2 linked regions of the Cricetulus griseus genome follow. The protein of the gene in region 1 interacts with the protein of each later gene in a pairwise test. Links are inferred from orthologs where the notes say so. Each region holds a gene or a part of one and is shown on either strand. Other genes may lie near its edges. The genes, in order: Pex6 and Pex26.

The links.
Region 2: the proteins of Pex6 (region 1) and Pex26 come close enough for resonance energy transfer, tested with the Homo sapiens proteins (2 studies listed by BioGRID). The link is inferred for Cricetulus griseus from reciprocal best matches to the Homo sapiens genes PEX6 and PEX26.

What each region holds. Positions count from the first base shown.
Region 1 is NW_023276806.1:256,128,451-256,140,364, forward strand, and holds the start of Pex6 (peroxisome biogenesis factor 6), read left to right. Parts: upstream 1-2,315; 5' UTR 2,316-2,357; coding exon 2,358-3,239; intron 3,240-4,704; coding exon 4,705-4,868; intron 4,869-5,255; coding exon 5,256-5,339; intron 5,340-6,274; coding exon 6,275-6,388; intron 6,389-10,029; coding exon 10,030-10,132; intron 10,133-10,211; coding exon 10,212-10,345; intron 10,346-10,839; coding exon 10,840-10,951; intron 10,952-11,244; coding exon 11,245-11,453; intron 11,454-11,883; coding exon 11,884-11,914. UniProt on the Homo sapiens protein: Component of the PEX1-PEX6 AAA ATPase complex, a protein dislocase complex that mediates the ATP-dependent extraction of the PEX5 receptor from peroxisomal membranes, an essential step for PEX5 recycling.
Region 2 is NC_048601.1:23,703,684-23,716,233, forward strand, and holds the start of Pex26 (peroxisome assembly protein 26), read right to left. Parts: upstream 8,066-12,550; 5' UTR 7,736-8,065; coding exon 7,518-7,735; intron 6,599-7,517; coding exon 6,458-6,598; intron 5,038-6,457; coding exon 4,742-5,037; intron 2,029-4,741; coding exon 1,882-2,028; intron 1-1,881. UniProt on the Homo sapiens protein: Peroxisomal docking factor that anchors PEX1 and PEX6 to peroxisome membranes. PEX26 is therefore required for the formation of the PEX1-PEX6 AAA ATPase complex, a complex that mediates the extraction of the PEX5 receptor from peroxisomal membrane.

The sequences.
Region 1 (11,914 bases):
GTGTGTTCCAGGTTCCCAGTCCTGTGAGTTGCAACCTACGCTGGGGGTGGGCTTTGGTGATGCAGCTGTCTTTGAGTCATTTCTGCTCGTGTGAATTCACCAAGCTGGAGTTTGTTGGTATCTGTGCTTTGGCTGTTGTGGGATCCCTATCTGGGGTAAGAAGACATGAGTTGCATCTCCCCAGAAGAAGTTTTGTCACCCAACAACCTGAACTTAACATCTGGCCTCCACATGAATGTTGACATATATGCATAAATAAGATTACACCTGTGCACATGGTACACATGTGTACATGGACACATGAACATACAAAGAGACCATGTGAAAGACCCCTGTCCCTTAGCCCTTTCTTTCTCAAGTTTGTCTCCTCTTCCTCCTGTTGGCGGCTTCCCCGATCCCCACCCCCGGCGGCCTTCCCCCGCCACCCGCCGCATGCCCGGCCCGAGAACAAACACCAGGTGGGCCGGCCCGAGAACAAGCACCGGGTGGGCCGGCACGGGAGCGAGCACCGGGTGGGCCGGCACGAGGGCGAGCACCAGGTGGGTCGGCACGAACACCAAGTGAGCTGGCCTGGAGCCCTACCCCTGAGCCCCCGCCCGAAGAGAAACACTCCGTCCCAAGGTCTCCGCCCCCAAGGTCAGCCATCAGGAAGGGGGGGGGGATTGAGTCTGCTGTACCAGACACCAGACACCAGACCTTGAGAATATGCTGATCTGGAATGGCTCTGTGTCTCATTTGAACCATCCAATAGAAATGATTCTGTATTTCGCCTCATTTGAAAGACTCTATGTTTCACCTCATTTGAATAACCCTGTATAGCGCCTCATATACATTGACCAATGGGAATAGCTCTGTATAATGCCTCATTAGAATTATCCAATAGAATCCCTGCTCCTAGCTTGCGCCTTTTTCCCTATATAAGGACCCCTTTCCCTTGGCTCGGCGCGCTTAGCCACACAGAAGCTAAGTCGCCCCGGGTACCCGCGTCTCCAATAAAGCCTCTTGTTTTTTGCATCCAGTTCGTGGCCTCGCTGATTCCTGGGTGTGGGTCTCCCTCTACGAAAGTACCTCTTCGGGGGTCTTTCACATGGACAATTCCATCTGAGGCAAGTTCTCATGTATCCTAGGCTGGCTTCAAATTCACTATGTAACTGTTGCTTCTACCTATCAAATGCTAGGAAGACAGGAGTGTATCACCACACCTGGTTTCAAAACCAGGGCCTCACCGTTGCCAGACAAGCCCCTCTGCCACCTGAGTTACATCCCCAGCCCAGTTCCAGGTAATTCCAGGAACTATAATCAGAAATTTAAATATTTTCTCATCTTTCTGGGGATAAAGACACCTTAATACATGTAATTGAATTCTAATATTCAACTTTCAGATGTCTGACGTTCAGATTTTTCAAGAGTGTACACTACATAAAACAGAAGGACTATCTCAAGAAGCTCAACTGCAATAAAAAGGAGAAAGGCCAACAATCGCTGGAAGAAAATACAAGATTCAGAAAAAGGCGATCGCCACCATCCAAAATATTGACTAAATGTAAGGAAGCAAAAACTCGGTAACTGTGAACTGGAAATGTGACTTATCCCTGAATGTCATGGAGCAGTAGAGCGCAGACAAAGATGAAATCTAAGTCACAGTACAGGCTGTTGGCTCAGTTCCCATCACAGAAGCCTCTAGCCCTTTCCTTTCCCTTCTCTGGGGTAGAAACTGAGAATGGGTCTCCGAGGGTTAGTAGGGCAGAGCAACGGGTTTGAGGGAAGAGGTTAAACTGCTCAATCTGAGAGTTTGGCGGGAGTGAACACCTAGGAGCCGCGGCGCTGGAACATGGGCTTTGTGTGGGGCTGCGGGGGCAGCACCAACTGCGGGGCTACATGAATCACAGGCAGCGATTCAGTCAGCAGCCCCTACATAACTGCATACACACAAGCCTGTCTGGAACAGTTTTATGATCCTACAACTCCCTCTTACAAGGTTCACCGCAAACCTACAGATGAGCGGGACAAACTACGATTTCCTCAGGAAAAAAAAAAAGTGGATTCCTTCCACTTTTGACACCAGCCACTCTTGATCAATCAGATATTGAGTACGTGTTACGGGGCACGATAACCGAGAGGGCGTGATTTCCCCTACCGAAAAGCAAAGGTAAAGGCTCCTGCACGCAGACCCAAAGGGCGCATGCGTCGGCGATTACGGCGGCAGCTGGGGAACCAGCCCTGTACGTCGTCCCCAGGGGCGGACTCTGCCCCCGGCGCCCCGCCCATTTTCCTGCCGGAAGCGGAAGCGCCTCTCGCGCCCGCGAGCTTTCCGGTCGCTAGTTCCGGAAGTGGAGGTGCTGGCTTTCTCAGTGGCCATGGCGCTTGCTGTCTTGCGCGTCCTGGACCCCTTCCCGGCTGAGACGCCTCCGTTGGCGGTGCTGTTGCCGCCCGGGGGCCCGTGGCCTGCCACAGGGCTGGGCCTAGTGCTGGCGCTGCGGCCAGCAAGCGAAAGCCCTGCGGGGCCCGCGCTGCTCGTTGCGGCCCTGGAGGGCCCGGGCTCCCAGAACGGGCAGCGAGGGCCGGGACCTCCGCAGCTGCTGGTGAGCCGGGCGTTGCTGCGGCTCCTGGCGCTAGGTCCCGGGGCGCGAGTGCGAGCGCGGCCTGTGCGGCGGCCTCCGGCGCTGGGCTGGGCGCTGCTGGGCTCGGCTCCCGGGCCCGGGCCTGGGCCTCGAGTCGGGCCGCTGCTGGTGCGCCGCGGGGAGAGCCTGCCCGTGCCCGGCTCGCGAGTGCTGGAGACGCGACCGGCCTTGCAAGGGCTGCTGGGCCCAGGGACGCGGCTGGCTGTAACCGAGCTCCGCGGGCGGGCCAAGCTGGGCCCTGAGAGTACGCAACACAGCCGTCTCCCACCCCCGCCCGTGGCGTCCTCCTTTGCCGTTTCCCACGCAGTCCGGCAACTTAAAGGGGTCTTGGGAGGGACTGGAGATGCACTGGGTGTGACCCGGAGCTGTCTCCGGGGTCTCGGGCTCTTCCAGGGCGAATGGGTATGGGTGGCCCGGGTCGGAGAGTTCCCAAACACATCCCAGCCGCATTTGGCTAAAGTACAGCTCCTAGAACCTCGCTGGGACCTGTCCGAGAGACTGGGACCCAGCTCTGGACAGCTGGGAGAACCACTCGCTGACGGACTGGTGTTTGTGCCTGCTACTTTGGCTTTTAATCTCGGCTGTGATCCCCTGGAAGTGGGAGAGCTCAGAATTCAGGTCAGGAATGCTTCCTTTTCCTTCTGCCCTCTTACCTGTCTAACTGAATTAGAAGGCTAGCTGTAAAATGTAGGTCCCCTGTGCCTGAACTTTGCACTTACGGTCTCTTAGCCTTGTTTACCGGTTCTCTATTATCAATCAGACCGTGTCTCCATAGCGTAGGTGCATGGGAAGAGCTTTCATGTGTTGAGGTGACAGGTGAGGTTCCCTGTCAAGTGCCAGATGTGCACACTCGTACTCCCGCTAATCCGTAACTGGGTTGCTACAGTAGAATGGTGTCTTGGTACCTTCGGCTTATGATTTTCATTGACTTCCTGTTCTAACTTTATCTGACAAAATTCTACCATCCTTTACTTCAAGGCCTACATAAAAAATAAAAACTCTTTAAATCGTTTTATGATCTCAGTACCATAACTTTTAACATCATTTCCTCCCCCTATAGCCTTTTGAATCTTTGTTAGAATACTTATTCTTTCTCGTGATTACATAATCTGTCTAGTCCTCAATCATATATTGTAAATTCCTTGAAAGGGCTCTTTGTTATCTTTGGTACCTGGTATTTAATAGCTTATTAAATACATTTAAGAGACATTCTTGAAGTGTTTTGGTTTCTGCCTTTACTTTTAAAAGTACAGTTTGCTTGGGGGCCACTACTGTTTGGTTTCTAAGCATATGCGTATGCCTTAGGTTGGTGCTGGCTTGAAAAGAAGCCAGTAGCCACTTAAAGTTAATCAACTAGCTAAAACAACACCAGTTTTTTAGTTGATCTAACTCCTCTCAGGTACCCAGTGGTCATATGTACAAACAGAACCTGCCCATCAGTGTGGAAACTTGTTAGGTAAAAGACCAGTTAATACTATGAGATGGGAGGCTAGGGTTAGGCTCAGTGGAAGAGCACTGGACCAGCCCCAGAGAAGCCCTGGATCCATTCCTAGCACCCAAACCACATCAACCAAACAAGTCCACTAAGACATCCCCATGTGAGTAACAGTAGATGTGGGGTTCCTTCTGACTGAAGACAACTGGTGTGTTGAAACAGCCCTTTTCTTTTGGTTAGGCTATGGTGGCTCCTGTCTATATACTTAGAACTTGAGAAGCTGAGTTGACTGTCAGCCTGAGCTGTAGAATGGGACAACAAAACCATATCCTTTTCCCACAGCCAAAACTCAGTGTCAATTCCAGCAGCTGCCTGGTGTCAGTCAAAGAGTGTAGGGGCAGGGCACGGTGGTGCATGCCTGTAATCCCAACACTGGGGAGATGGAGTTGTCTTTCAAAGGCCTAGAAAGATTCCCCTTTGCAGACAGCTTTTTGGTACGCATTAGGAGAGCTTTGGGTGTATGTAGTTTGACTCCCTCAGGCTGCTAGCCTTGATACTGTAAAGACAGAAGGCAGATGTAGACACTGGCCACTAGAGGGTAAACCTGTCTCCTTGGAGGTTGTAAGGTGGTGGTTGTCTCTCCATTAGAGGTATTTGGAAGGCTCCATCATCCCTGAAGACAGAGGAAGCTGTTCACTGATGTCTGGGCCTCCGTTTGCTAGAGAGTTACACATTGAAATTGTGTCCTCACCTCACTACAGCGCTAATGGAGATTATGACCATGTTCTTTACCGGCACTTTCATACACCCAGGTTAGCTGTTATGCCTCTTAAGGAAAAGAACACCTCTCCTTGTCTCTCTCCTCTCCTCCCATCCCATGCCTCAGGCCCAGGTACCCCAGGGCTACTGGCTTAAGAGAACTGCATTATAGGCAGTGTTGTGCCTGGGAGCTGTGGAATGACCATGAGGTGAATTTGGACATTCTAAGAAAAAGGGACTGTTTGGTCAAAGAATATTCCAAAAGAGCCAGGGGTGCTCTCTGTCCCTGGTCTTTGATCCCATTTCTAGTCTCACCACCATTTCGCCAGCTCAATCTAAGTCTAATTGTTCCCTAGAAAATTGCTGAATAGGCCCAGATGTGCCAGGCGCACTCCTGACAATCCCACTGTGAGCTGACTGAAGCCACTGATGTGTTGCAGGGTGGTCCAGGAAGGGGATGTTCTGTGTGTGCCAACAGTTGGGCAAGTTGAGATTCTGGAAGGAAGCCCGGAGAAACTGCCCAGGTATGCAGCTGCCTCCTTATCTACAGTCTAGAGTCATGAGCTGAGTGCAGTTCAACAGTCTCCTCCCAAGTTGTATGTAATGGTTTTGTGCCAAAAGATATTTTGTTACTGCTGGAGACAGGAAATGCACTTTCTGGTTCCTGAGTGGACACAACCAAAGACAGATTAAGAATCACTGCCCAGGGTTGGGGTATAAGTAGTGGTAAAGTACTTGCCTAGCATGTGAGGAGGTCTGGTCTGTATTTGATTCCTAGCACACATGTGCAGACACACAACACTGAGTGAACAAACACTTTAACAGAGCGGGAGCTGCAGTTAAGTGTGGAGCGCTTGCCTGGCTTGACTGAGGCCCTGGTTCAATCCCCAGCACATACAAGTTGGGGGTGGTGGTGTACATCTGTACATGTAACACTTGGGAGATAGAGGTAGAAAGATCATGAGTTCAAGGCCAGCCAGGCCTTCTGTGAAGGAAAGAAAATGTAATTGTATCCTCGGCAGTAGTCCTCTGTCTTTTCTAGACTGGTTTTCCATTTCTTGGTTTTTTTCTTCTTTTATGTTTGCCTTGTGGGGTGGGGGTGTGGGTGGGTGTGTGTCTGAGTCTGAGTCTGAACACACGCATGGGTGCCACAGTGCACATGTGGGGGTCAGAGGATTACTCTGAGGAGAAGGATCTTACCTACCTTACAGGGTTTGGGAATAGAACTTAAGTTATTAGGTTTGGCAGCAAGTGCCTTTACCTGATGAGCCATCTTGCTGCCCTTCCCTGCTTTTGTTGTTTTTAGGTTTATTTAAAACCTAAATTAGGTAGATTTACTAAGGCAAAGAAAACCCTCAAAAGTGCCAGGGGCTTTAAGGGAGGACTGGTCCCATCATATTTTATTAGGGAGCATGGTTGATAGAGAGGCTAGCCCAACTTTGACAGCTATCATTTGCAGGTTATCTGCCTCGTCCTGTGACCTATGCCAAGTTAGACACCCTGCAAGAAATGCCTGGCTCACCTTTGTCAACATCCAGAGCTTCGTCCTTATTGGCACCTGGTGCTTCCTGTGGTAGTAACCCTAGTCCACATCAGGGCCTGGCATCTAGGCTGGTGCTTGGCAGTCTCTCTTGCCTCTGTGTGTTGAACAGTGCCAAAGAGCTAGTGATGTGTGTGTGTGTGTGTGTGTGTGTGTGTGTGTGTGTGTGTGTGTGTGTGTGTGTGGTGGTGCGGTGTTGTTAGTGGTTGGGGGGGGTTGCTTGTTTGTTTTTTGAGACATATTTTATCTGTGTCGCTTTGACTGCCTTGGAACCTGTACTGTAGACCAGGCTGGCCTTGAACTCACAGAGACTCACCTGCCTTTGCCTTCTGGGTGCTGGGATTAAAGGCTTGCGCCACCACTGCCCAGCCATCACAGGGGTGTTTTTTTTTTTTTTTTAAGATTTATTTATTATGTATACAGTGTTCTGTTTGCATGTATCCATGAAAGCCAGAAAAGGGCACCATATCTCATTACAGATGGTTGTGAGCTACCATGTGGTTGCTGGGAACTGAACTCAAGACCTCTGGAAGAGCAGGCAGTGCTCTTAACCTCCCAGCCAACTCTCCAGCCCAACAGGGGTGTATTTTTGAGCCAGGGTCTTACTCTGTAGCTCAGAGTAATCTCAAACTCACTATGTAACCCAGAATGACCTTGAACTTGCAGCAGTTCTCCAGGCCTAGCCTGAGTGCTAGGATTACCATGCCTGACTTAGTTGTTTTGTTTTGAGACAGGGTCTTATTATGTATCTCTGGCTGGCTTGGAAATCACAGATACCCATCTGCCTCCACCACTCAAATTCTGGAATTAAAGGCATGCACCACCATGCCCAACTTGACTTGGGCTTTTTTTTTTTTTTTAAGATTTTTATTTATTATGTATACAACATTCTGCTTCCATGTATATCTGTACACCAGAAGAGGGCACCAGATCTCATTATAGATGGTTGTGAGCCACCATGTGGTTGCTGGGAATTGAACTCAGGACCTCTGGAAGAGCAGCCAGTGCTCTTAACCTCTGAGCCATCTTTCCAGCCCAACTTGGGTGATTTTTTGGGAAAGGGCTTCATATAACCCAGGCTAACCTCAAAATCTATGTGTGAATGACGGCCTTGAACGTCTAATCTTCCTGTTTCTACCTCCTGACTCCTAAGATTTATAGGTATACACACACACTTCACATGGTGCCTCGAACAGACCCAGGGCTTCATGCTAGCCGCTGGCTGGTCACCCTCTTCACGATGAGTAGCTTAAATACCTCTAATTCATGGTGACACTGGTTAGGCTAGGCACGCATTCTACCAACTGAACTAAGCTCACAGTCCCTGCCTTAGTTTTCTGTAGAAAAACTGAAGCCACCCACACTTGATACTGTCAAAGGAAAGCAGGTGGTAGATCATTCTCTGGACTGCTGCTGACCCAGCTCCAGAAACCCGCCTGTCTTCTAGGTGCTGAGCACAGAGCTTCATGAACAGGGCTGAGTTCAAGGGCAGGTATAGGACTTGAGGCCACCGAGGCAGGATGAGGGAAACCCAGGAGCTCCTTGGGTTCCCTAGAAAGGAATTCCACTATTGATGACACACTCGGCCTCCCCTGTGCTCTGCTTCACCAACCAGTGCTACCTGGGAGTCCTCAGCCTCACTGCCTCCCACTGTGGCCCCCTGATCCCTGGCGTTTTGAAACACAACCAATGTATCCTCAGTAGTGCTCTGGTAAAGTCTAGCTGGCTGGCCTTTCTGCTTCATGAAGTGGAGCACTACCTTCTGCTGAAGAAGGCCGTCCCTTCCTAGCCCCCCACAGTGCCACCCCCTCATTGCTTTCTTATGCACTGTATCCAGGATATACGGACAAGATTTCTGGCATGATAGAGGTTCAAGGCTGTACACTCAGCTTCCTCTCATTTGAAGTACTCCCACCACCTTTGCTGCCAGAGCAGGCAACTTGGTAACTAACTATATGACATTTTGAGTAAAGGGGATTGCATCCTGAAGGGTCTTAGAGAGGCCTAGAGTACAGTTGTTCCTGGCATCTCACCGCCTAAGAATTAAAGGGAGAAGTCTCTGTCTGGGAGACTGAGTTTCTAGCTGCTGTCTGCACTTACCCTCCTCCCCATTAGTAGAGTAAGTACTTCTGATTCACAGTGGGTGACACTGGGTGTGACTGCTTAGGCCTGGTTAAGCCTTCAGATTGCATAAAATACAGATGCCTAACACACCCAGACACTGGGCTAGAACACGATGAATGAGCCTGTGGTCTGTCCGTGTTCAAGAGCTTATGGAGGTCAGAAGACAACTTGTAGGAGTCAGTTTTCTCCTACCTCATGAGTTCCAACTCATGAAGTCAGGCTTGGTAGCAAATACCTTCACCTGCTGAGCTATCTGGTTGGCCCCAGTGGAGTGGGGGGGGGTATGATTCTGAGACTGGAAGACCTTGACTACAACCTAGCTTCTTACACTCTTTTTGAGAGTGGGGGAGTTTGAGACAGGGTCTCTCTATGTAGTCCTTGCTGTCCTGGAACTTGCTATGTAAACAAGGTTGGCCTTGGAGTCTCAGAGATCCTCCTGCCTATGCCTCCAGAGTCAGGGGTTAAGGGTAAATGCCACCATTGAGGCCTCTCTTACCCCCTTTTTTACCTTTTTTTAGATTTATTTATATGAGTATTCTGTCTTCCTGTACATCTGCATGATAGAAGAGGGGATCAGATCCCATTATAGATGGTTTTGAGCCACCATGTGGGTGCTGGGAATTGAACTCAGGACCTCTAGAAGAACAGCCAATGCTCTTAACCACTGAGCCATCTCTCCAGCCCCTTTCTTACCCTTTTAAAGTGTACAATTCATGGTCATGGTGGCATGTACCCACCATTCCACCTACTTGAGAGACTGAGACAGAGGATCACTTCAGGTTATGAATTTGAGGTCATTCTAGGAGACACAGAGAGACCCCTTTCAAAATAAACAAGTGTATAATTGTTTTTTGTTGTAGTTAACAAAATTTTGTGCAAACATCTTTAATTCTTGAACTTTTCTAACCACAAAAAGACACTACCCACTAGTAATCATTCCCTATTTTCCCTTTCCCCCAGATTCTGGCAGTTTTCAACCTGTCAAAAACATGAAAAATATTTATTTCTAAAGCTTCACAGACAATTCCAGAATAGAGAATTACTCATCTCACTGCAGCATAGCCTGTCTACCTCACGACCTTCCTGACAGCCTACCCAGGACTAGAGTTAGATGGCATTTGTTGGATTACTGAATGAAAAACCAGGGAGACTTTTATCTGAGGTCTGGGGCCCTGGTGCAGAGGTATTGGAGAGAGACTGTTCTGAAACCAGAGGAAGTGGCCATAGGTTGCAGTGCTTAATGATGGTGGCTTTACCTTTTGAAGTGGGTGGCTAGGACATGTGCCTGTAGAAATGCCCTCCAGGGGCTATCTAATGGTTGTAACGGAGGTGCAGAAGGGCAGATGCAACTGCCCTCGGATGTGTTATGGTCAGTCAGTCAGAGAGATAGGACCGGCTGATTTCTACTCTCCCCAGCTCCCACCATCACGTCAGCCTCAGGGTACCCACCCATGCTGCGCCTGTGTGTCCTTTGTGAGAAAGCCACCTGCTCTTGGAGAGGGGCAGACGTGGACTCTAGGTCTTGGGTTCCTTGGCCCTCTTTCTTGCAGGTGGCGGGAGGTGTTTTTTAAAGTGAAGAAAGCAGTTGGGGAAGCCCCAGATGGGCCAGCCAGTGCCTTCCTGGCAGATACCACCCACACCTCTCTATACATGGTAAGGCCTTGGGCAGGAGGAGACCTGGCAATGGGGTAGGGGCACTATAGAACCATGGGCTCCCTCCTACCTTTCGCAGGCAGGTTCTGCCCTGAGTCGTGTTCCACTGCTGCCTTCAGGAAGGTCCACTCCCTGGGACAGCTTGTCTCCTCCAGGCCTGGAGGCCCTGGTGAATGAGCTCTGTGCTATCCTAAAGCCTCACCTGCAGCCTGGGTGAGTGAGGTGTAAATCCAGGCCATGAGAAGGGCCTGCCCAGAGCATCCCTGCAGAGCAGTGTCCAGGAAAATAACTCCCAGTGGTCTACCCAGAGTGGGGGCCCACAAGCCAGAACACCTAGGCCAGGCCACCAGCAGACTCCCAGGTGGCTCTCTGTCTGCTTTTCTGCTTAGGAAACCCATGATCCATCCTGGCCTTTATCTCTCCATCCCCCAAGGATGAAGTGCCCCAAGTCTAAACCCAGACCCCCTCCCTTTGTTCTTCAGACCAGAGCTATCAAGCTAGGCTTTCCTGGAAGCACTGTGTCTGTGTCTAGTTGCTGTGCCTCTGCCTGAACATGAGAGACAGGGCCAGAGTGCAGACAGCCTGAATGGGGGGGCAGGTAGGGAGGCACAAGCAGAAACAGTGCTTTTGAGGTCCAAGGGTCCCTATGTTACTGTGGTCTTAACATTTGGACAGAAAGTGGGAGACTGTATATTCTCTAATTGCAGAGGAACCTTGCTCACGGGAACCAGCTGTGTGCTGCTTCAGGGCCCTCCAGGCAGTGGGAAGACCACAGCAGTCACAGCTGCATGTAGTCGCCTTGGGCTCCATTTACTGAAGGTGAGAACCCCAACCACTTCCCCTCAGTCCAGATTCTGCCTTTCTCTCTCTTCCTTTGTGTTCTCTCATTACCATCTAGCAGCCCTTGAGCCCACTAGTCCAGGCTAACACACAGCCCACAATGCTCAGTTACTCAGGTCCTCACAGTCCCAGGAATGGACAGGGTGAACAAAAGCTAAGACCTGGCCAGTGCTCCTCCTTCGCCCATCCCTGCCCTCCACAGAGAAGATGATCCACTTTTGACTCCTCCCACCTCTCTAGCCTGGTCAGACCAACCCCTTCTCTCTTCACAGGTACCCTGCTATAGCCTCTGTGCAGACAGCAGTGGGGCTGTGGAGACAAAGCTGCAGGCAGCCTTCTCCCGGGCCCGCCGCTGCAGGCCTGCTGTCCTGTTGCTGACAGCTATAGACCTTCTGGGTCGGGACCGCGATGGGCTGGATGAGGATGCCCGTGTGGTGGCCACACTGCGTCACCTCCTCCTTGATGAGGACCCCGTCAGCAAGTGAGGAAGGGAAGGCCTCTCCTGGCACTCGCTCTGGAGACCAGGCTGGTCTCGAACTCACAGAGATCCGCCTGCCTCTGCCTCCGGAGTGCTGGGATTAAAGGCGTGCGCCACCAACACCCGGCCTCTCCTAAGTCTTTTCAGCCCTTTATTCCTCATTTCCTCATCCCTGCTGGCTTCTCAGAAATCTCACTGATATTTGTAGGAGTCTCCAGGGGAAGCAGGGTGTATAGTCTAGCATTTTGCAGGAAACACTAGGTTGAAGCCTTTGTTCTCAGTGAGCTCCCCCTGTCCACACAGATCCCCACTTAATGGTGCTCCCACAACTTGTGCTGGGGCTTTGGATGGCGCTTGTCTCTGCCCAATCCTGACACCAACCTCAAGAACTGCCAGCCATGTTCTCACTCTGTGCCCATTCCTCTGTCTGCAGTTGCCCTCCTCTGATGGTGGTGGCCACCACA
Region 2 (12,550 bases), on another chromosome or scaffold:
ACATATTTCTTTCTTAAGCAGAAGAAATACCCCAGGCCCTTAGAAGGCCGAAGCAGGAGCTTAGCTGGGACTAGAGGTTGAGACCAGGCTGGACAACACGAGACACACACAGTGCTGCCCCTCAAACGGGAAAAAGCAGTGTTTAGGACTAAGGAGAGGGCTCAGTGGGTAAAGTCCTTGTGGAACAAGTGTGAAGACCCTGGTTTGAATCCTGAACACCCACGTGAAAGCCAGGCACCGTAGGAGCATGAGCCTGTAATCCCATGGCAAGATCCAGGTTCAGTGCACACATGATGGAAGGGAAGAAAGGTATTTATTTAGTCCTCTAAGGTTGGGGGTGAAACCAGGGCTTCACAAAAGCTATGTAAGCCATCTACCACCGAAAACTACCCCTAACCCTCCACACATGTTATTTTTCTTTAAAGTAACTGACCTCCTCCTTCCAAGTTCTGTTTGCAGCCCACCCCCAGGTCCTCCTCTCCTGAGGACCAGGGCACATCTGGGGATGCTCTGAGTGACCCAGGACACACCCAAGTTCAAACAGCTTTCTGCATCACCATTTAGATGATCAGAGTTTATGACACAAAGGGGTTTGGGGGAAGTCATAAAGAATTTCTAAATTCTTGTCACGTCTACAGAGTAGAAGTCAGGGACAGGCATAAACCACACAGACTAAATGTCCCTTTCTTAAATGTATTTTTCCAGTCTGAGAGTACGCTTCCCACAACAGGTGTGGCTGCTTGCTGGTCTTTTTCAGCATTTCTGGAAGCTGCAGGTGACTTTCCTATATAATTGTCCAGGGGAGACATTCCTTCTCAGAATCCAGCAAACAGACAAACTCTAACTAAAGAAAAGGAGAAGTGAGAAAAACAAGGACCTAAAGTCAAAAGCTGACAGCTTTAAAAACAGGGAGATGTGTGACTCTGGTCTAGTCACTTTGCCTCTCTGGTTATTAGATTTCTCAACCAAAAATGAAAGAAAATGAATGGACCAAAATAAAGGATTTTCATTTCCCCTTGGTTTTGAAAGTTGCGTGACTCTACCCTACATCTAAATTCTTGAAAGAAGTAGAGGCTAGACCACAATTCATAAAGCAAGGGTAAGACAGAAAACCTGGCTTGGGGATGGATGCACACCTGCAATTGCAGCATTTGGGAGGCTGAAACAAAAACATTAGAGGACACTCTGTACTGACAGCAAGACCGTTTGTTTGTTTGTTTGTTTAGGTGGAGAAGGGTGTTTCTCAAATAATGGCCCCCTAACTATGGCCCAGTGTCTGCACATCTGGGTGATCACTCCTCAGGAAACCACCAGGTGTGTTCCCAAGTCTCACTTGGAAAGCTCATCTCTATGTTACAGTGAAGGAGAAGAGACGAACCACCTTGAGGCCCAGCACATATCAGCAAGGGAGGGTTCTATAGCCATAAGATCACCAAGCTGTTTCCAGTTATTTTCCCATAATTCCCCGAGGCCCAGCACATACCAGCAGGGAGGGTTCTGTAACCAGATCATCAAGCTTTCCAGTTACTTTCCCACATCTTCTAAAATACATCAGAATTTCACTTACAATTCAAGGTCACACTAGCCAGGAGACACCTGATCAACAGACTCTATTTTAGGTGTTATCGATAAGGAAGGCGTCCTTATCTTGCATTCTGACTAGAGGTCATCCCTGGATGGAGCAGAGGCCTAGGTGACTCCATCAGCAGGGCGGGAAATGTTCTCCAACTGTTCTCCTAGGTTCCAGGCCTGGACTCTCCTGCCATGTGAAGTTGACTCTTATTTTTTATGGAAGAGGCTCAGAGAACAATGTCACAGAGGGTGGCTCTGTCTCAGGGGCACCTGCCCTCACAGGCCCTGCTGTAGGTGCCCTTCACTCACCTGGGTCAAACCGCAGAACCAGGAGACAGAGGATCAAGGCGGCCAGGAGGCTCTTTTTGAAGGGCTGAGAGAGGAGGTGGCTCGCCGCAGCGTCCCAAAGCCGGCGAAGCAACCTCAGCAGTGACATCAGCTTATGGGAGAAAGAACCTGACCAGGGGACAGAGCATTGCAGGGTGAGTCAGGCAGATCAGTTTCCCTGGCTCTGAGCCTTGAGCCAGATCTGAAGAGTCAATCAAAATACGATGAGAATGATTTCCTCGGCTCATGAAATAGTTCAAAAGAAAACTCAGAGAACTCTAAGAATGACATTGTTTGTTTGGAGGTTCAGTTCAGCTTCTGCCATGCTGGGAACAGATCCATGACCTTGCAGATACTTGGCAAGTATTCTACCACTCAGCTGCACCCACAGCCATCCAAAGATGTTCTAAGGACTGTATGAAGACACAGTCAGTGCACATGAGACCTGCTCAGCTGTGTAAGTGTGTGTCTGGGAACAGCCCCCTTATTTTACAGCATTTGTCAATCTTACAAACTGACATGAGTAAAATAACTCAGAGCCTTACTAGTGACACAGTAACACCTCGAAATGAAGGGCCTTTAATATATGCAGTAGAGAATTCAAGACTGGGATTGTGAATAAAATCATGATTACTAGTAGCCCAAAGACAAACAGGGCCAGTCCTGACAGAAGCCCCTGGACTTGCCACAGGGATTACGGTTGTGCTATTAAGTTTCATGTCACTTGGGAAGAGAGAACCTCTACTGAGACAATGCTCCCACCAGATTGCCCTGGGAGCAATCCTGGGGAGCATTTTCTTGATTAATTATTGATGTGTGTGAGCCTATCCCACAGGGGTAGGACACCCCTGGATGGTGGTCCTGGGTTCTGTAAGAAAGCAGGCTGTTAATTCCCCAAGGAAGGCCTTTACCCCCTCTGAGGAGTGGATAGAAGGTAGGAAGAAGGGGGAGAAGAGGGAATGGAAACAGATTGGTATGTAAAATGAAAAATAAATTAAGAAATGCCATAAATGAAACCAACTGCTTTGTAGTGTAACCTTAAAAAAACTAATAAAAAATAAAATAAACATAAAAAAAGCAGGCTGACCAAGCCAAGAGGATCAGGTCAGTAAGCAGCACCCCTCCCCACATGACTTCTACATCAGTTCCTGCCTCCAGGTTCCTGTCTTCAGTTCCTGCCCTGACTTCCTTTAATAATGGACTGTGACGGGGAAGTGTAAGATGAAATAAACCCTTTCCTCTTCAAATTGCTTTTGGTCATAGTGTTTTATCACAGCAATAGAAACCTAACTAAGGCAAAGGTAGAAGGCCTGGCAGCCACAGGCAACTCCTGAAACCAACAACCTGACAGCAAAGCAGGCCTAAGATCCCAGCAGGTCCACAGAGAAAAGTACTTTGGAGAACAGAGTTATAATTTCCTAATTAATGACAGGCTTTCATGTACATTTTAAAAAGAAGAAAATTTAACAATCCCTAAGCTGTCCAAAGACAGAAGATGTTAGAAGAAGGCATAAAGCCAATTGTCTTTCTAGTTCTACTCTGAAATGGATATTTTGCTTCTGATGGTGGCTAAGTACCGAAAAATATATTTAATGTGGAAGTATAAAATCCACTGTGAAACTCCACAGCTTCTGTTCCGAATGGCTATTCAAACTGTATAGAAGATCATTGAATTGTATAGTCTTTCAGTCTCATTAATTTTGGTGTGTGTTTTATTTTGTTGTTGTTTTGTTTTAATCTACAATCACTTTTTTCATATCCAAATTTTTATTTAGTTTATTTATGCCACCACACAATAAAGTGATATCACAGCAAATAAAAGGGATACAATCTTTTCTATAATAAAGTTTACACACACACATTATGTGTTCAGTTCCTGGCATCCACATTCTGGGGTTCACAACTGCCTGTAACTCCAGCCCCAGGGGGATCTCTAGCCTCCATGGGTACCTGCATTCACACACCCACATCCATACACAGACATATACATAGGCATAATTTAAAATAATAAAAAATAAATCTTTAAAAATGGACAGAAAGCACTGCTCCAAGAGACAGGTAATGTTCTAACCTCGGAAGTGTTCACACACAGGCTGAAGGAAAGGGACTGAAAAGACTGAGGTGCAGTGATGGTTTGGGGCCAGGGGCCTTTAGGTTCCTGCAACAGAACAACCCACTCCCAGCTCCGTGCCACTGCCTTGTGAGGATGCTACCAGAAGACACTGGGTAGCACAACTGCATGTAAATGAACACGGCAGACCTCAGCTAAAAACACAAACACTCAAAGCTCTGGTTAAGTGAAGGCAGATAGGAGACGGTGCATAAAGACCCAAAGCTGAAGGAGGTCATTTTTATTTCATGAGTTAATGAGTTAAGCTGTGTGTCTAATAGGGCCAGCATTTAAAGGAGGCGTAACAGCTCCCAGACCAGTATGATAGAAGCAAAAAAACTAGAAAGGATCCCAAGGAAATGACCAATCAGATTCCAAAGGAAGGTGACGTCTCTTTCTTTTTTGTTTTGTTTTTTCAAGACAGGATTTCTCTGTGTAGCTCTGGCTGTCATAGAACTCACTCCATAGACCAGGCTGTCCTTGAACTCATAGAGATCCACCTTCCTCTGCCTCCCAGGTGCTGGGGTTAAAGTTGTACACTACCACAATCAGCCTTTAGTCCCCAAAACTGGGAGACAAATCAGGGTCAGGGGACTCAACACCTCCCCAATTTCGGAGGATCTAGCTTGGTTTGTAATATGACACAGTGACTTAAATCTTCAAGTTCCTAAACTTGGTACAGGGGATGCCATGGGACCCCTTTGCAGAGGCCATAGAGCCCTGATGTCCTACCTTCCTGGCTCATCTGCTGCTGCTCCTGAGAACTCAAATGCTCCCGTGTGTGCTGTTGCCTTGCTGTGCAGATGGCCTGGAGCACTGCTTCCCGCTGCTCTTCGCTGAAAGCTGCAGAGCCCACTGCCAGCCCCTCAGCCTCTGACAAGCGGCCCAAGGGTAGCAGCACCCGGAGCAGGTGGAGTTCTGCCAGTGATCCATACTCAGGAAGGCCCTGGTTGTCTGGGTCTTGGAGCCAGGCATCAGCCATAGCCAGCACAGCTCTTGGCTCTCGCATTTTGCTGTATAAAAGGATGCTGTGTCCCCAAACAATCCCCAAAAGAAAAGAATCAGTACTCTACAGCTGGCTCATTCTCAAAACCACAAAGTTCTGTAATCCCACCCTCCCAGGTCCTCCAGCCCTTCCCTGGGGATACGGACACTGTTAAGAATTAAAAACTGGAAGGTTGGAGAGATAGTGATTAGTAGTGCGTACTTCTCTCACAGAGGACTGGAGTTTGATTCACAACACTCATATTGAACAGTTTACAATCACCTGTAACTCCAGCTCTGGGATATCTGAGACAATTTCCTGGCCTCCAAGGGCACTGGCACTCATGTGTACACATGTGCTCGTACTCACACACACACACTCTCACACACACACAAATTTTCTAGATAATAACAATAATTTTAAGAATTAGAGATTGTGCTTGGTGGTGGTGGTACATGCCTTTAATCCCATCACTCCGGAGACAGAGGCAGGTGGATCTCTGTGAGTTCGAGGCCAGCCTGGTCTACAAAATTAGTTCTAGGACAGCCAAGGCTATTACACAGGAAAAAAAAATGGATACTGAGGACTTGAGAGATGCCTCAGAGGTTAAGAGCACTGGCTGTTCCTCCAAAGGACCCAGGTTCAATTCTCAGCACCCACATGGAGTCTTACAACTGTTTATAACTGAAGTTCCAGGGAATTCAACACCCTTCTCTGGCATCTGTGGGCATCAGGCACGCATGTAGTGCATACATGCAATGCATGTAATACATTCAGGCAAAACACCCATACACATAATAAAGCAAAAAGTAAAATACTTTTTAAAGAGCATTATCTGTACAATCCTGAGGATCAGAATTGGGGAGGGGAGGCTGGCACCCACGTAACAAGCCTAATGTGGTTCTACCCACATCTGTAATTCCAGCATTGAGGGGGGAAGAGACAGGAGGATCACTGGGTCTTGCTGGCTAATAACCTAGCCAAGAAAGAAGGTGAGCTTCAGCTTCAGAAAGAGGCCCTGCCTCAGAGGAATAAAGCAGAGAATGATGGAGGACTCCAAATACCCTTCTCTAATCTCCATGCACGCACGCACGCAGGCACTCAGGCACGCAGGCACGCGAACACACACACACACACACACACACACACACACACACACACACACACACACACAAATACACACCAAAATGGGGGGGGATCTCCGGGAGGCAGCAGGATGCTTGATTGGCCCTGTCCCCTCATTAGACTGCTTCACTATTACCAGTGTGTGCTCTCTTTTCTTGTACCCTACTCCCAAACACGGCTTCCTCATCCTTAGCTGCTGTGGTCTGAGGTCTGAACAAAGTGGGGAGACCTGAACTTGAAGGAAACTGACGAGAAGGAGGATGAAGGAGTCATGAGACCCTGACTCAAGAAGGGACTTGTGTTCCTACACTGGCCCAATGTCAGCACGAGGAACTTACCATAGCTCCAGGACTTTGGGAGGAAGCTTTTCAGGAACCTGATAATACTGGAGGACCCAGGACAGGACTTCTCTCCACCGATTCATTTCTGCCAGAGCCTGGATCCCCACGACACACAGGGAGCACTTCACCTCCACAACACTGTCAGCGGAAAGACACGAGTCAGGGTTACAAGTGCTTCCCCTCTCTCCATTCCCCTCTTCCACTCAGACAGGCATCCAGCTTCCACTCGGAGGCTACCACCCAGTCAGAACTGAATGAGCCGGAAGGTAATCTTGGAAATGGCATGCAGCCACCAGGTGTGTTGACGGAGAGTGGGCAGCAAGAATTTGCTTAGTGACAGGTGGGCTTGGAGAGGTGTCTGGCCAGGTGTTTCTATAGAAACTCAACTGGCCTCTAAGAATTAGCTATGTCCAGATGCTCAGAAGCAAAGCCCTCAACATTCGATGTGCAACCTCTGCCCCCCTAAAACCACAGCCAATTTCTCCAGGTTTTATTTCTCTGCTATCAAATTGGACTATTCATTCTGCCTACTCCTCCTTAGTATGTTCATATAGCCCTAAGGAAGGTAACGCTCCACAGAGCAATGGTGCCCCCAGCTGCCAGAGGAGGTCTATGCATTAGAATGAGCAACCCGGGGGCAAAGATTTCCTAAAAGTAATTCATCCAACCCTTCAACCGGACCAGACCACTCTGCCTTGACCCCATGTCCATGATCTGACAAAACCAGGAGTGAATAAGGGGTGGGTCCCCAAAGGAGGCCTCCTGCTCCCTGACAACTGAACCCCTCACAACTGAACACTTAATTGACATCCACCCTGTCCTCCTGCACTGAAAGAGTGAGCGAAGAACTGGCTGTGGCTATCCCCCAAACTGTTCATGATTTGACTTCTTTATTGTACGTGACCCTTTCTTCCTCAGGAGCACGGGTGCAGAATGAGCAACCAGCCTCTCCCAGAGAGGATCCCCTAGTGAAAGCAAGGTGTCAGGTTGGTGCAATCTGGCAATGCCAGAAAGTCCTCCCCAAAAGGATCAGAAAGGAAGGCAGCCCAGCACATACGTGCCACTTGTGGGCTCCTCGGCCAAGCTCTGCCAAGCCCGTTCGCAAGTCTCTAATGCGGCGTGGAAGTCCAGATGCACCACTAACAGGTCGGCCGCCTCCTCCAGCAGGTACACCGCGGGTGGCACAGCCGGAAGGGCACGCGCAGGCTCGCTGCTCCGCAAAGGGCCCACGAGCCCTTTCATGAGGGCTGCAGAAGTCGAGGCGTCGTTCTTCATAGCCAGCCTTGGCTCGGCCGGGTCTCCTCACACGTCAGGAGCCTGCTAGAAATCCGGAATGGGCCCGACAGATGACCGGCAGGCGTTGTGCTCCACGCCTCTCCAGGTCAGATCCTAGGAAAGGACCATGAAGATGCTGGACCCGAGGCACAGCCCGCGCTCACCGACAGCCTAACTCTGGCGGGACTGGCCTGCATATACGTCGTGATGCTGCCGAACGCCAGGCACTTGCTCCTCCCACACCCCAGACAAGCGCTGGAAGCACCCGAGCTCCCAGAGTCGCAAGCTCGCCCTACTCTAACTACCCACAAGAGCTTGACAACTCCGCCTCCGCCCCGCCACTACGGCGCACGCGCGCGCCCTGGAGCGCGGGACTCTGGGAGTTGTAGTCCTGGCCTCTTGTCTCTGCGACGCTTAGGGGAGCGTTCCCACTACAACCTCAAACCTCTGGCACCCGGAGACTGTCATCCTCCAGAGAACGCACCAGCTCACCAGCTTTGGGTTGGAAAAGGTGGGGCAGCTAAACCATTAGTAAAATCGCCTGTGTCCTGTGAAATACGATCCTTCTCTCACGAACCGGAAGAGGCCCAGTAAGGAGGTGGAGCTACCTGCACCTTTATTCTGAACTTCCGAAGGGGTGCGTTGACAGGGAGCGTAGGACAATGAAACACCGAACTAGCTATTTCCCCTTCCTGGGTTCTTTACTTTTAAAGTGTGGCACAGTGCAACGTGCTTTCCGTGCATTCTTAGTTATTTCATCATCTCTATGAGTTATTACTCTATTTTACAGTCGAGGTAGGTCACAAAAACACTGTCAAACCAAAGAAGCACTTTTTGACTGAAAGGAATGTCGGGGTGGAGATATAACTGATCTACGCTTTGCACTCAGTAGATTAACCAACAACACACAAGTGAGTTACATAAGCTCCTGGGACCTGCATTGTTTACATAAAATAAAGATATCATAAAAGCAAAGCCATGCAGGTGTAATGCAATTGTTCAGTACAGTACTGAGACCAAAGTAAGAAATGCTAAGTTGCAGCTATTACATATGGTTTGTTTGTTTGTTTGTTTGTTTGTCTTTTGAGATAGGGTTTCTCTGTGTAGTCCCGGCTTTCCTGGAACTCACTTTGTAGACCATGATGGCCCCGAACTCAGGGATCAGACTGCTACCACTTGCTATTATACACTAGCTTGCTGTTACATAATTTTACACAGACACATAAATCAATCATTATCTGTGTGCTTCAGGCAGGGTTTCCTAACTCCTCTACATGTATTCTTGTTTTACTTTTGCCCAGTTCTCTAGCCTCTGAACTCTCTCCCAAGCTTTCCTAGAACCATTTGCTCCCGTAGTGACTGGATATGACAGCTAGGCACCAGGCCAGGACCTGCTCACCTCATACATGTCTTATTGCTTACAACAGCCTGTAAGTCTCTACAGAAAGTCCTCAGGCCGCTGAGACAGAAATGTCAAGTCTGTCAGACGCTGGTACTGTGACTGTGTAAGGTGAAAAGGTGCCACTCATTTAAAATACTGCTTAATTTGTTTTTCCCCTAAGGACTGGAGAGATAGATAGCTCAGTGGTTAAGAGCACTTGTCCTCATGGAAGACCTAGGTTCAGTTCCCGGCACCCACAGAGCCACTCACGACCATCTGTCCTCTAGTTCCAGAGGATTCAATGCCTTTTTCTGACTTCCTGGGGCACCAGGAATGCACATGGTGCTCATACATACATGCAGGCAAAACACTCACACACATAAAATAAGATAAATAAATCTAAAATATTTTTTTAATTTTTCTACATTTTTTGTGTGCCTCCAGGTAGCCACAGCACAAGTGTAGATAGAGGTAAAAGGACAGCCTGCAGGAGTCCGTTTTCTCCTTCTTCTATTTGTGTCTTGGAGATCAACCTCAGGTCACCAGGCTTGGGGGTAAGCTCCTTTACTCGCTAAGCCGTCTCACTGGCCTTACACTGTGTGGCAGACACTGGGGGTCCCATAGAAATCAAGGACAGAGCCTTCAGGAGCTTGGATCATAACGGAAGGAAACAAACAACGAAAATAAACAAGAGCTTATTAATAAACAAATGTACATGCCTGTAGACCCAGTTACTTCTGCAGTTGATATGGAGAGATTATTTTGAGGCCAGGAACTGGAGAGCAGTCTGGGCAACACAGCAAGAACCCCATTTCTAAATATATATGTACATGAGTACATACATACATTCAAGCAAGTAAAATAGAGTCAATGGTGTTGTCAGATGATAAAGACTAAGGAGAAAGAGAAGGGAGATGGGGGCAACCATGGAGAGGCCAGCACAATAGATGCGTTTGCCTCTGTTTTCTAACAGCAAGTCCAGAGACAGGGGCACAACACACAGAAAATATGGCCTTTTTGCACTGCACTGGTCCTTGTTATTGGGGGTCAGTGTTTGGAACCAACATATTCTCTGTGTCATTGTGAGGAGACCTCCTTCATCAACAGACAGCATTTACCCCCCTGAAGCAAACACTAAAACAAAGCAGAGATACTTAGCATGTGGGTTGCAGGGACTGAGACTGCCAAAATATTCTGTCAGCTCTGCCTCCAATGGAACATTAAATGGTTAAGATCATTAGTAATAACATAATTATGGGGTTGCAAAACATAACAGCTCATCTGTTTCTCAAACTAAATTGTTGGTTTTTTTTTTTAATTTAATGTGGATGGGTGTTTTGCTGCATTATGTCTGTGTATCACACGCATGCCTGGTGCCTGCGGAGACCAGAAGAGGGTGTTATATTGGATCCCCCAATCTATGGAGTTACAGATGTTTGTGAATCACCATCTGGGTGTTGAAACTTAAACCTGGGTCCTGTGGAAGAGCAGTAAGTGCTATTAACCTCTGAGCCTTCTCTCTAGACCCTTAAACTGAGTTTAAAAGTATACTCTGAAAACTCAGAAGAGCAGAAATTGGGAGGTGGCTCAGCTGGTGACTCGATCAGTTGCAAATATAAGGACCTGATCTTGGATTCTCAACAGCCGTATTAAAAAACAAACAAACAAAACCAAAACAAAACAAAAAACCAGGTGCAGTGGCAGACACCTGTAATCCAGGCATCTGAAGTGGAAACAGGAAAATCTCTGGGACTTATTAGCTACCCAAGATAGCCAAATCAATGAGCTCCAGGTTCGGTGAGAGACCCAACCTCTGAAAGATACGTTGAAGAGCAATAGAGGAAGATGCCCAATGTCAACCTCTGGCCTAAGAGGCCAGAACAGTCAGAACTGAGAGAGCAGCAAAAAATAGAACACAAATTTTGTTTTGTTTTGTTTTTTGCTTTTTGAGAGAGGGTTTCTCTGTGTAGTAGTCCTGGCTGCCCTGGAACTCACTTTGTAAGACCAGGCTGGCCTCAAACTCACAGAGATCCACCTGCCTCTGCCTCCTGAGTGCTGGGATTAAAGGTGTGTGCCACCACTGCCTGGCAAAAAAATGAATTGAAGAAGAAAGAAGAAAGAAGAAGAAGAAGAAGAAGAAGAAGAAGAAGAAGAAGAAGAAGAAGAAGAAGAACAAGAACAACAAGAAGAAGAACAAGAACAAGAACAAGAACAAGAACAAGAACAAGAAGGACATAGGCAAACTGAAGCTGCCACCAAATAGAGTCACCACTGTGTGATTGAGGCCAGGAAATGTTTTTCTTACCACCTAACAAATTTCTCACTATTCCAGGTTTGTCCAGCAGATGGCAGAATAGCCTTAAAAAATCTTTCTTACCAGACAAATTTCTCTAATGGTACAATAACCAGAATGAGGTCAAGATATTTAAAGCAGGAGTGGGATGTGCTAAACTCATATAAAAATAAAATAGTGTCAGTGTGTGCTAAATGCATTTGTTAAAACATCACAATGAAACCCATTATTTTGTACAGTTAATACACAATAAATGTTAATAAAAATAAGCTTGTGCTTCATTTATTTGTTTCACTTGATCTTCAGCTGTACATTTGGGGCTTCACAGTGGTCTCAATGTTAGCACCTAACCTTTGGCAAACTGACTCCCCAACACACTACTGCAGTGACCCACTGTCCTCTTTTTTGGAGATTTCTTCCTAACCCAGGGCCCTTGATGCAGGATGTTTGGAAAGTACCTACCTTCCTTTCATTGACTCATCCATGAAATACCAGGAATAGAAATAAGTACAGTTCTCCCAGTCAACAAGGCCTGGCCCGAGTTAGTATCTGTATTGGTGGGATTATCTCACTGGGGGGGAGGGGACCAGCAGAGTGAATGAGACACATGTCTCCTCATCTTATCCCAGCTCCTAGTGCCTGTCTGTGATGTGGTGCTCTTTCTTCTATGTGACACCCTCAGGACTCAGCTCTTCACATGCAGGTGTCTACAGGATGGTACCCTGCTGTGAAAGAAGAAGAGTGAAACACAGGTTACATTCTTGGTTCTGTTTGCGACAAAGCTGCCTGACCTCCATGTACCTATCCAACTTCCCTGTGCTTCAGTCTTCTCTAAGGATGTGGGCACTAGCATGTACCAGCTGTGAGCATCGGGAGATTGGGATAACCCACTGAGCCTGCAAAGCTGTGGCATCCTTCAGGCTAATGAAGCTGTCACATATTCAGACTCAAATAAGGAACAGAAAGTATTCTTCACCTCCAGATTCTGGAATCTTTGTGATCTTACTTTTAGGAACAAGCTGTCCTTGAGTTTGCTATATAGCAAAGGATGACCTTGAACTTCTCTTGAGTGCTGGGATTACAGGATATGTCACCACACCTAGTTTGTATGGTAGTGGAGATTGGACTCAGGGCTTCGTAC